Linked DNA regions of Xenopus tropicalis. The protein of the gene in region 3 purifies or fractionates together with the protein of the main gene of each other region. This does not show direct contact. Links are inferred from orthologs where the notes say so. Each region holds a gene or a part of one and is shown on either strand. Other genes may lie near its edges. The genes, in order: med13l, med16 and cdk8.

What was found.
Region 1: the proteins of cdk8 (region 3) and med13l purify together in Homo sapiens (affinity purification with mass spectrometry; 6 studies listed by BioGRID and IntAct, counting the BioPlex papers as one, with this or other methods). This does not show direct contact. The link is inferred for Xenopus tropicalis from reciprocal best matches to the Homo sapiens genes CDK8 and MED13L.
Region 2: the proteins of cdk8 (region 3) and med16 purify together in Homo sapiens (affinity purification with mass spectrometry; 10 studies listed by BioGRID and IntAct, counting the BioPlex papers as one, with this or other methods). This does not show direct contact. The link is inferred for Xenopus tropicalis from reciprocal best matches to the Homo sapiens genes CDK8 and MED16.

What each region holds. Positions count from the first base shown.
Region 1 is NC_030677.2:145,408,444-145,412,098, reverse strand, and holds part of med13l (mediator of RNA polymerase II transcription subunit 13-like), read right to left. Parts: coding exon 3,600-3,655; intron 2,453-3,599; coding exon 2,116-2,452; intron 791-2,115; coding exon 571-790; intron 46-570; coding exon 1-45. UniProt on the Homo sapiens protein: Component of the Mediator complex, a coactivator involved in the regulated transcription of nearly all RNA polymerase II-dependent genes.
Region 2 is NC_030677.2:100,796,106-100,799,760, forward strand, and holds part of med16 (mediator of RNA polymerase II transcription subunit 16), read left to right. Parts: coding exon 1-236; intron 237-996; coding exon 997-1,102; intron 1,103-1,235; coding exon 1,236-1,391; intron 1,392-1,483; coding exon 1,484-1,692; intron 1,693-2,249; coding exon 2,250-2,456; intron 2,457-2,933; coding exon 2,934-3,144; intron 3,145-3,453; coding exon 3,454-3,587; intron 3,588-3,655. UniProt on the Homo sapiens protein: Component of the Mediator complex, a coactivator involved in the regulated transcription of nearly all RNA polymerase II-dependent genes.
Region 3 is NC_030678.2:155,758,971-155,762,725, forward strand, and holds the end of cdk8 (cyclin-dependent kinase 8), read right to left. Parts: intron 1,441-3,755; coding exon 1,315-1,440; 3' UTR 480-1,314; downstream 1-479.

The DNA.
Region 1 (3,655 bases), on a different chromosome or scaffold from region 3:
CACTTCATCATTTACAGTCTGCAGAAGAGAATGGCAGGGAACCACCTGAAAAAGAGAGTAGGGTAAGATATTGTTGATGACCACAAATTTTTAATTAAATACAAGGATGCTAAACATTTATGGTAGACCCCCAAGTGAATTCAGTCAGTAAGTTTTTTCCCCAGGCTAGTGCTCTTTTTAGGAAAAATAAGAGAAGCACCAGCCCAGGGAAAAAAGTAGCAAAGCTCCACCATTTTACTTGCTATTCCCAGGTGTCCCTGGCACAAACTTAGACTCATGCATGAGCAGTAGAGTACAATACGAACAGTTTTACTCGACACATCTGCGTGTCTATGTCTGCTGACAGTTGCCTGGGAAAATAGTAAAATGTCGACAAAGTTGCCGTACAATATGGGTGCCACTGTATACAGATCTTTTAAATAATAATCATTTCTTTGCCACCACCCCCCTATATTATAAGTGTCACTGCAAGCAAGCGCGATTCAAGTCTTGAGAAAAGTCTTATAAAAGCTCTATGTGAAAAGCACATAAAGGTTATGGTAACACACATAAAAAACAAACAATGTTTACCTGAAGTATGCAAGCTGATCGAAGTGGCTCTGGTAAACTCTCCAGCATGTCAGTAAAACATCTGATCAGGCCAAGCATCCAGTAGTTCCCAGGGTGGCAGTCTTCATCCACTGTGTATGTAAATGGATCCACCATGTATATAACTACTGTTGGACAAGAACTGAGTGCTCCAGCTGGTTCTGGTTCTGTGGGAATGCCAATTTTCTCCCGCTCAGTGGCACTGTTAATGTAAAAGAGACAATACAAGCTGTATATTATATGTTTAAAAATCCTTCTAAATTAAACAAAGCAAAATATCCTTTGAATCATAAAAATATTTGACAGGATTTTACTAATATTATTATTAAAAAAGTCTATTTACAGTGCATATAAAAGAAAAAATAAGCAATACAAAAATACTAAAAACGAATACATGTATGTATGTATAACTTTATTTATAAAGACCCAAAAGGGTACGCAGCGCTGTACAATCTTACAATACACAGAATTACACAGAAGGAGGACAAGTGATATAATAAATAAATACAATAAATATATAAATGCACAGGGAATAAGTGCCATGTGGTATGAGACACAGTAGGAAGGAGGTACCTGCCCCGTAGAGCTTACAATCTAAGTGGTTGGGTAACATACAAGCACAAATTGGAAGGTAAGAGTGCACCAGGTATGGGCATTTTCCCTTAAGCGCAGGACTAGGCAAAATGTTTTAGTGCTCCAGAAGGTAACAGCTGAGCTTTTTCTTAAAGAGAGTGGGTGAGAGTTCCCTATGGAGGGATTCAGGGATAGAGTTCCAGAGGTAAGGAGCAGCAAGACAGAAAGGTTTAAGACGAGAGAGCGCAGTGGGTGTGAATGGTGTAAAAAGACGGAGGCTCTGAGAGGAGCGGAGGTGACGACCAGGAACATGCAGGGAGACCAGTGAAGAAATGTAGCGAGGAGCAAAGGAGTGAAGGGCTTTGAATGTTAGGATTTTGTAAGCAATCCTTTGCTTAACAGGCAGCCATGCAAGAGAGCTTAAGTGAGGCTGAACAGGTTCCCTCTTTGGAGAGAGCAGAAGGATCCTGGCAGCAGAGTTTAAGATTGATTGCAGGGGAGAGAGGTGGGAGTCTGGGAGGCAAGTTAGTAGGAGATTGCAGTAATCTAAGCGGGAAAGGATAAGGGCAATTTCTGCTGAAACATGCTACTGTCTTTGGAGTCATGTGGGATACTGCATAGAAAGCCTTAAAAGCTTTTTGCTGCTACTGCTAATCAGGCCCAAAGTGAAGACACATAAACATGCATATATATGTCAGCAATAATTTAGTGATGCCTAATGTGTATGAATCTCTAGGTACAGGAGTGAATTGTCTGACTTACTGACTGCAGTGGAAATGTCAGTGTTCTCTCACCCAGTTTCAAAAGTACATTTTTACAGTTCTTACAAAGCTTCTTTTTTTGTTTTCCATATCCCCTTCTAAGAACTGACTACCAGGTTTTTCATATAACTGCTGTTGTGTTGGGCAAGAAGTCAAATATTTAATTTCATTTTAATACAGCATCTGTACTTACTTTTCTGGGGTCTCTTGCTGCATGGACTGCTGGCTAGGCTCTGGGTCTCCTGTGGTCTGGTTTCCTAATGGTCGCTCCACAATACTTGAAGTGTTCTGTGATGGGCAGTTATTGAACCCAGTGGGTACTGTGCTGTTTCCAGCAGGAAGAGATGTGGAGGAGGATAGAGGTGGTGGTGGTAAAGGAGTAGTACTTGTGCCATTAGGAGTGGTGTTAAAAAGAACACCAGTAGGACAAGACGGCACAGCTGGGCTTGAGCTGGTTTGTACCGTAGGTGGCTGGTTCTTAGGAGGTAATAACAGGCTGCTGTCTAGTTGCAATGTGGATAAGTAAGGAGCTAAAACAGAAAAAGACAATGGGCATTAGCAAAACTTACACATCCATGTCATAACATCAATGTAAGGTTCCAGCTAATCCCTTTTGTACAGCGCATATAATAAACAGCAATTGTGACTTTTTATTTTCCTCTCGTGTTTATTAAAAGAGTTATAGTAACTACAAATTACAACTATGGGATCTATTATTCAGAAACCCATTATCCAAAACGCTGAAAAAGAAGCAATGAATTTGCCCACAGTACTTTATTTTAACAAACTACAAACGGTCCACTTTTGCTTAATGTGCTAGTTCACAATAGTATAACAAATGGCATAATGTTAAGGAGTCAGCCCACCGACAAAAATTTTTTTTACATTATCACATGGTGGAGTGAGAGTGGTTCACACCTTTAGTCAAACTCAACCCCCTTTCCCCTCCATCACCTGCTGATGGTGAGCGGCAAAAGGTCAGAAATATCCTTTCTAAATATTAGAGAAAAAAGGTGATCGGTATTCTGTGGCATTATATTAACAAACACATATACTGTTACAAGGTGCAGGTATGGGATCAGAGTTATCTGGAAACCTGTTATTCAGAAAGCTCAGATTTACGGGAAGGCAGTCTCCCATAGACTCCATTTTAAGCAAATAGTTAAAAATTTTTAATGTACAGTACCTTGTACTTGATAGCGACTAATTATTAATCCATATTGGTGGGTTTAAATAATGTTTAAATTATTTTTTTAGTACAAATCTAAGTTACAGAAAGACCCCTTATGCTGAAAACCCCAGGTCCCAAGCATTCTGGATAACCGGTCCCAAAACTGTAATTGTATTTGAATCACCTCACAAGTGCTTGTCAGGTTTTTGTTGCCTATATATAACATGGCACTCAAATTGCCTGAAACCAGCCTCTGCCCCACACCTCTAAAAAAAAATAAATAACCTGGACCATTATTAAAACAAAGATCAAGCTGGTTTTTACAGCCCCACACCTCTAAAAAAATAAATAACCTGGACCATTATTAAAACAAAGATCAAGCTGGTTTTTACAGTGGGTTGGAAAACAGCGAGAGAACCTCACAAACTGTTTTATCAAAAAAATAAAGAATAATGGACAAAAACTAAATCTGGTGCAGTATGCAGATGGGAAGTTATCTGGCTCACCAAGATGCTGGCGGCAGGTCTGTGCAAATAGCTGGAGCCTTGCTTGGTTATCCATC
Region 2 (3,655 bases), on a different chromosome or scaffold from region 3:
TTGCAGACATTGCATTTACTGGTGGTGGAAACATTGTTGTGGCCACATGTGATGGGAGCAGCACATCCCCAGTACAGTTCTACAAAGTTTGTGTTTCTGTAGTAAGTGAAAAGTGCAAAATCGACACAGAGATACTTCCTTCTCTCTTTATGCGCTGTACAACTGACCCTGCACGCAAGGACAAGTTCCCAGCTGTGACGCACCTTAAATTCCTTGCGCGGGATATGTCTGAACAGGTGAGAAGAAAAGTTGTTACGGGGTGGGTAAACGTTCGGATTATTTTTTTTTTTTAACTTCAAGCTCCCTGAAATTGCCCACCCGTAGGTGGGGATATCGGGGGAAGATCCACTCGCTTGGTGATTTCGCCAAGCGAGCGGATCTTACCGTGTATGGGGACCTTTAGTTCCCTTAAACCAGAGGGCTTCAGTACATAGTAGGGAGGCTAATTTGAGGGTGAGATTTGGGAGTACATGCTTAGTTGTTGCCCTGAAACTATAGCAGGGTGACTGCTTCGCCAATGTTTCTGTTTATCATTAACTTAGTAATGACCTAAGGGGCCCACCCGTGCTGATTCATTGTGGTTTAAGTTCTTACTATAGGAATATAGGGTAACTATAATAAAAAAAATCTTCATGTATTTGAATTTGAAGGGAACAGCTTAAAGGAGAATACACAAGAGCTGGTATGGGCTGTGAACATGAACTGTAGAGCAGTAGCGCATGTGCACAGCCCAGGGCTGAAGTAAAGACAGCAAAGAAGATAGCAGAGCAGTGCTACTAGACTACTTCCCTAGACTGGTGCATTTTTCAGTGAAAAGGAGCACCAGCCCAGTGTCTGAGGCAAGCAATTATAATCACTGAGGGGTGTCAAATTGGCATCCCTGGTGATTAAACCTTTGCTTGTCGTTTAAAGGCATCAGCATTAAGGACTAAAGGATAAGGATAAATAAATGTTTTGGACACACAGAACTTACAGTGTTTTGTCCATCTGATTTAGGTTTTACTCTGTGCTTCCAATCAGTGTTCCAGCATAGCTGAGTGCTGGTCTCTTCGGAAAGAGGGTCTTCCACTTAATAATATATTCCAGCAGCTATCCCCTGCAGGTAAGTATTTTAATATCTTCCTGTTACTCCTAAACATTTTATCCTCAGTTAGATGCTTCACTTACTCCAAAATGTATCATTGCATAATTTCTCCACATTCCTCTCAAGCCTAAAACACCTTTCACTCTTGCAGTAAGTGACAAGCAGCCCATGATCCTGAAGTGGCGTATCCTCTCAGCCACCAATGAGTTAGAGCGTGTTTCTGCTGTGGCTCTGCCCAAGCTACCAATTTCTCTCACAAATACTGACATCAAGGTTGCAAGTGAAACCAAGTTTTACCCTGGGCTTGGTAAGTTATTACCCACTAGTTTATTTTGATCTGCAAAGAAATTGGATACACTTCTTTTATTTAAGACACTTAATCAATCACTGTTTTTACAGGTCTAGCATTGGCATTCCATGATGGAAATGTTCAGATTGTTCATAGACTTTCCCTGCAGCCAATGGCAGTTTTGTATGGATCATCTCTGCGGCCTTCTGAGGAACCCAGCTTAAAACGGCAGCGTTCGCCTACCCCTTGCATTCATTTTAAAGCTTTGCAGATGTCGTGGACCTCGCTTGCTTTGGTTGGGCTAGATACACAGGGCAAGGTCAGCGTTAAAGATTTTACTGCTAATATTAGGCAGGTCGGAATGACAGTGTTCTGTTTTAAAAAAAAGCCCCAAATAACAATTTTGATGGTATAAAAACAGTAAGGATGGGTCAGGTAGTAGAGTTTGGTGTTAGAGGTTAAATTGATCTACAGTTATCTGTAGCATAAGCATAATCGTAAATATATTTAAAATTCAAAAACGGTGCCTTTATGAATAATACAAAATGATAAGATCAGTTTGCACCTCAGCCATAGATGTATTTAAAACATAACACCAGTGACTGCTGGAGGACCCAGTTGATATTGATAGCTTTCTAGGACACTGAAATAGTTTTTATAAATTTGCAATGTTGAGTGGAGTCTAATTTATGTTTATTATTTTATGGTGCCCAGTAACTTCTAGTTACATCACAGCCTTTTGCTACACTAAAACAAAGACACTGGCATCAAAGAATATGATTAAACTGATATTACAAAAAATCCTGGCCCATATAATCACAGTGAATTTCTTTATGGTGCTGTTGTATTTGTGTGACCTTTGATCTTTCCCCACAGCTAAGTATGCTACGAGTCTCTCCTTCTATGGGGCATTCCTTGGATATGTCAACATCCCTACGTCACCTGCTTTTCTTGTTGGAATACTGCATGGTGACTGGATATGACTGGTGGGATATACTGCTCCATGTTCAGCCTGGCATGGTACATAATTTAGTGGAAAAGTTAAACGAGGAATACACTAGGCAGAATGCGGCACTTCAACAGGTAAATGCCATGCAGAGGTGCAGTGGCCTTATAGATCATAGTGTTTATAGACCACAGATATGGAGATATTATGTGTAGAGATGTTATATTAGTAACATGCACTTACATAAATACTATTTAATTGATCAAAAACCCCTCTGCTGAAACTACCTAGCTTTAATATTAGTTTCATCTACTCTCTTGCTTTTTAAAGTGGACATACATGCCATGACTACACACAGTATTGGAATAATTATACAAGGAACCATACACAATATGACTGCCTCTGTAATGTTCTGTTAGTATATAGGCCTACAGCTCAAATTATTAGAATATCAGGAAGTGAGGAGGAGGTAGCTGCTGCTTTTATAGTGGGAGTAGTCGAAACACAATAATCTGCAGTAGATGGTTCTCTTTCTTTATTAAGATGGGGCTTAAATTAGACATTGCCATTTACTAGAGTACCAATATGTAACATCTCTGATCTTGTCGTGTTAGGTTCTTTCCACTCGGATTCTGGCCATGAAGGCGTCTCTATGTAAGCTGTCTCAAACCACTGTAACTCGTGTCTGTGATTATCATGCAAAGCTCTTCCTCATCTCTATCAGTTGTACCTTAAAATCTCTACTTCGTCCTCATGTTCTCAATACTCCTGACAAGAGTCCTGGAGATCGGCTTACTGAGATCTGCAACAAGTTCACCGATACTGGTGAGTGGCAGGAATAGAAATCCTTTGATGAAATAATCATACACAGGCAGAGAAAAGCTGCTGTCTCCGCTCTTCAGGCAATGTTGATTGCTAATTAGCCCATGTATGGTAGTGACAACCGACCAGAGGTTTAAAAATTTCATTCATACAATGACCACATTTAAATATTGATCATATATTGGTCATTTTCCAACTGATTTCCATAGGCTCCGTTATAATCTGGTTATTGGTTTAGGGCTCAAACATCAGCCCGATCTGACCCACCAAGTATATAATGTATACTTTTGTACATTCTCTCTCTCTACACAGATATAGACAAGGTTATGATTAACTTGAAGACAGAAGAGTTTGTGCTGGACATGCCAACCCTTCAGTCACTTCAGCAGCTTATACAGTGGCTTGGTGATTTTGTACTTTATCTGCTGGCCAGCCTACCAAATCAGGTAAAATTTTTTGATTTTTAGTTGACTGCATTGGCTGGATACTTTTCCTTTTTGAAAAACAAAACTTT
Region 3 (3,755 bases):
GCCACTGTATGCATTGCCTTCACTCTCTGGAGCAGCCCAAAGTCGCCTCTCTGGGTTTCTTCGCAACATGTAGGTCTCCCTTTAAACATCTCCAATTTATACAGCATCACACTGAAAAAAACACAAAAAAAAACCCCCAAAAAAACCCCACACACAGATTGTTTTATGAAAAATAAATTTATTACTTAACACCTTGCGTTAACAATGTTGAATTCTTTTTTTTTTTTTTAATCAGAATACTTGTCATTAATGTAAAATAGTCTGATACAGTACATTGTATGTTACAGTTTTGTATCCTTGTAAATTCTAAGGCCTTTCTACCTTTTATTCTCCAACAGAGACGACCCTATGGATGAGGGGCGGGGCCACAAAATGAAAAAGAGGGAGTTGAATTGAAATACACTACACCAAGCCAGCTTACAGGATCCGGACAGGCGCCTCGACCCTCGCGAGGCAATTATTTCATTACCAATTTTTTCTTTTTTTTCTGTTTTCACTATTTTTTTTTTGCTTTTTATTTAGTCAGAACTCCATAGCATGCTCACAATTCAGCAACACCAACAGGGGGGAAAAACAAAACAAACAAAAAAAAAGTTGATGATGATCGGTTGCCCTTGTTTGCCTCTGCAAACAGGTTGGTATATTTAATATCAGATAGCAGCTTTAATACTAGTCAAGTTAAAAAGTCCTTAAAAACCTATGCTGAAATAGAATCTTTGGGAGGCTCGTAAAGGGGAAATAAAGGCCAAACGTTGCTTTTTTTTCGTTGTTGCTTTTTGTTTAGGGGGAAGGTGTCGGAGGAACAAGATTTGCTGGTTATAAAACACTGATGGAGGTGATCATCTGGTATCACCTGAAAACTATACAGAAAGAAACGTGTAGCAAACAGAACAGCAGTACGATTTAGCGTGCTGGTTAATGTCCATACCAGAGAAGACCGTTTCTTATTGGTCAGATCATATTGTGAGAAGTCACCATGAAAAACAAAGTGTTTGTTCCTAACATACTTCACAGCTTCAACTGCTACCATCACTGAAGAGAATATGCATTGGTCAGTTTGAACCATATTCAAGTAAACTATGGAAGTAGCAAATCCACGACTGCGCCAACTGAGCTAGCACTCTTAACCTTCACATGGGGGGGGGGGGGGTCTACATTCTCTGAAATGTTGTGTAACTTGGCTGCTGGACATTTTGAAGGTGTGGTTGTACAGTACATTCCAAAGCCAGGCTTCAGGCAGACAGCTACATGCTCAGTCCTGCAGCCAAAGCAACAGTGCATTGACTTTGTGATGTTGTTTCCCTTGGGTACAGCTCAGTACCGGTGGGTCTGATGGGAGTACTGCGGAGGCTGCTGGGAGGTAGACGAATACCCCATGCTGCTCTGAGGTTGTGATGTGCTTGGTCCAGGGTTTTGATAAGCAGCATGTGGATTGGAACGCTTCAAGGAAAAGTAAGATCACAAGGGAAAAAAAAGCTGTTATTTAAAAAGAATGGGGGGGATTGGGGCTCTATAGAACTGATAAAACAGATGATAATACAGAGTACATGTCTATAAATAATAATTCCATTCCTATAATGGACATTTAAATGCTATGGGTATTGAAATGTCAATCACAGCAGAGACAGCAGGCACTGAAGCAGAAAAATAACAATACTGCATATGTATTATTGCATTTTGTTCAAGTGTTGGCCACTGACGGCTGTATTTAGTCCTGCCCTAGGCACCAACCTCAGCCTGCCATCTCTGCCCTTTCACTGCCCAGTGTCTCAGGCTGTGGAGATTGTTTACCCCATGTCTTCTGTTTACCATATAGGTGCCCAAGGGCCACTTATGGTAAATACGGCCCTGTCGGCATGGGACAAGTAACCATGAGTGCTTTAAATGCAGTGCACCCTGAAAGCATGTAAAAGGGCAAGTTCACCTTTAGGCTACCTTTTAGTATAGAAATATTATATTATATCTCTATTATATCTCTTTTTGTTTTGGCAACAGTTGCATTCTTCTTCTGCTTTTCTTTCAAATGGGGGTCATTGCCCCAATCAGCCAAAAACATATTGCTCTGTGAGGCTACAATGTTATTGTTACTTACTATTTTGACTTATCCTTCATCTATCTCAGTGCTGTCCAACTGGCGGCCCCCCTCTGTGTGGCCCCCCACCTGTCTGGCTGCTTTGATGGTTTACCCTTGTATAAGCATTAAATGGTATCAGTACTGAGATTAACTGCCCCCTGCATGGTTCTCACCTCAGATTCAGGCTGTAATCCCCCTGTATTGTTTAAATATGTAATCCCCTGTACTGTTCACACCTTTTAATCTATGCATTGTTTACCCCCTGCAGTGTTCACACCTCAGGCTCAGGCTGTAATCACCCACATTGTTCACCTCTTCACACCTCAGGCCTGTGTGTAGGCAGCATAGGGTAGGCAGAGTATGGCACATAGGCAGCATGGGGCAGGGAGGGTATGGCACAAACAGGCAGCATAGGACAGGGAGGGTATTGAACACACAGGCAGGGTAGGGCAGGCAGAGTATGGCACACTCAGGCAGGGTAGGGCAGGCAGACTATGGCACACACAGGCAGGGTAGGGCAGGCAGACTATGGCACACACAGGCAGGGTAGGGCAGAGTATGGCGCACACACAGGCAGCATATGGCAGGTAGAGTATGGCACACAGGCAGGGTAGGGCAGAGTATGGCACACACAGGCCATGGGTGGGTGTGGTTTAAAGGGGGGAGTGGCTTCCATTAGTGGCCCTCCGCCATGTATGCGCGAGAAATTCCGGCCCTCGGCACCGCAGAAGTTGGACAGCACTGATCTATCTTATTCAGGCGCTCCTTTATTAACCTTGCAGTCTCTGCTATAAACCACTGTTGCTAGGCTTAACTGGACCCTAGACATTCTAAACTGGAGATGTGCTGCACTAATGCTAAATAATTCAAAAACCATAAAGGGAAAAAAAAAAACAAACTGAAGATCCACAGCAAATTGATGAATAAAAGTTAAAGCTCAATGATCTGTCTCTACTCTCTGCATTCAGAAGCGGCCAAGTAAAGCAGAGAACTGTATTTCCATTCTATTTCCAGTTAGTGCACTCTTGCCCAAATGCAGGGTGAATACAATGAACTCCAAGGCTCAGGAGCTCAGTTACCCGCAATGACTCTCTGTAAATCAAAATAACAAAGTGCACTAAGAGGAAAAACAACTGCTTTACTCATATCAAAATTACCTAGGGTTCCTATTTTTGTACTGAAAATGTGGTTTCCATGTGCAAGTGTAGCTTATAGATTTATTCCTACCATAAAAGAGCCAGAAAAAATACTTCCTTTAAAGTGGATGTAGAACAAAGCATTTAGTGGCATATTTATTATAGTGTTTACGCCAACATGACAGGTGATGTTGCCCATACCAACCAATCAGATCTTTGCTTTTGTTTTGTAACTTGTAGGTGACTGGTCAAATCTAATTGCTGATTGGGTGCCTGGGGAACACCACCGCTGATGTTGGCTTACACACTATACAAAAAAAAAAAAGTCCCTAAGGGACTTATGTAATAAAAGGCCCAGGAGCAGTAACATATAGCAACCAATCTGCAGGCAGCTTTTACTGGTTACTTGTTTAAAAGCAAACATCTTATTGGTTGCCATGGGTTACTGCTCTTGGGCAAACTCTGTGCCTTTAATTACATATGGGGGTTAGTGTCGAGCACAGCGGCCCCCATGCAAATAGGTGCTGCAGTAAAGTGGCTATACA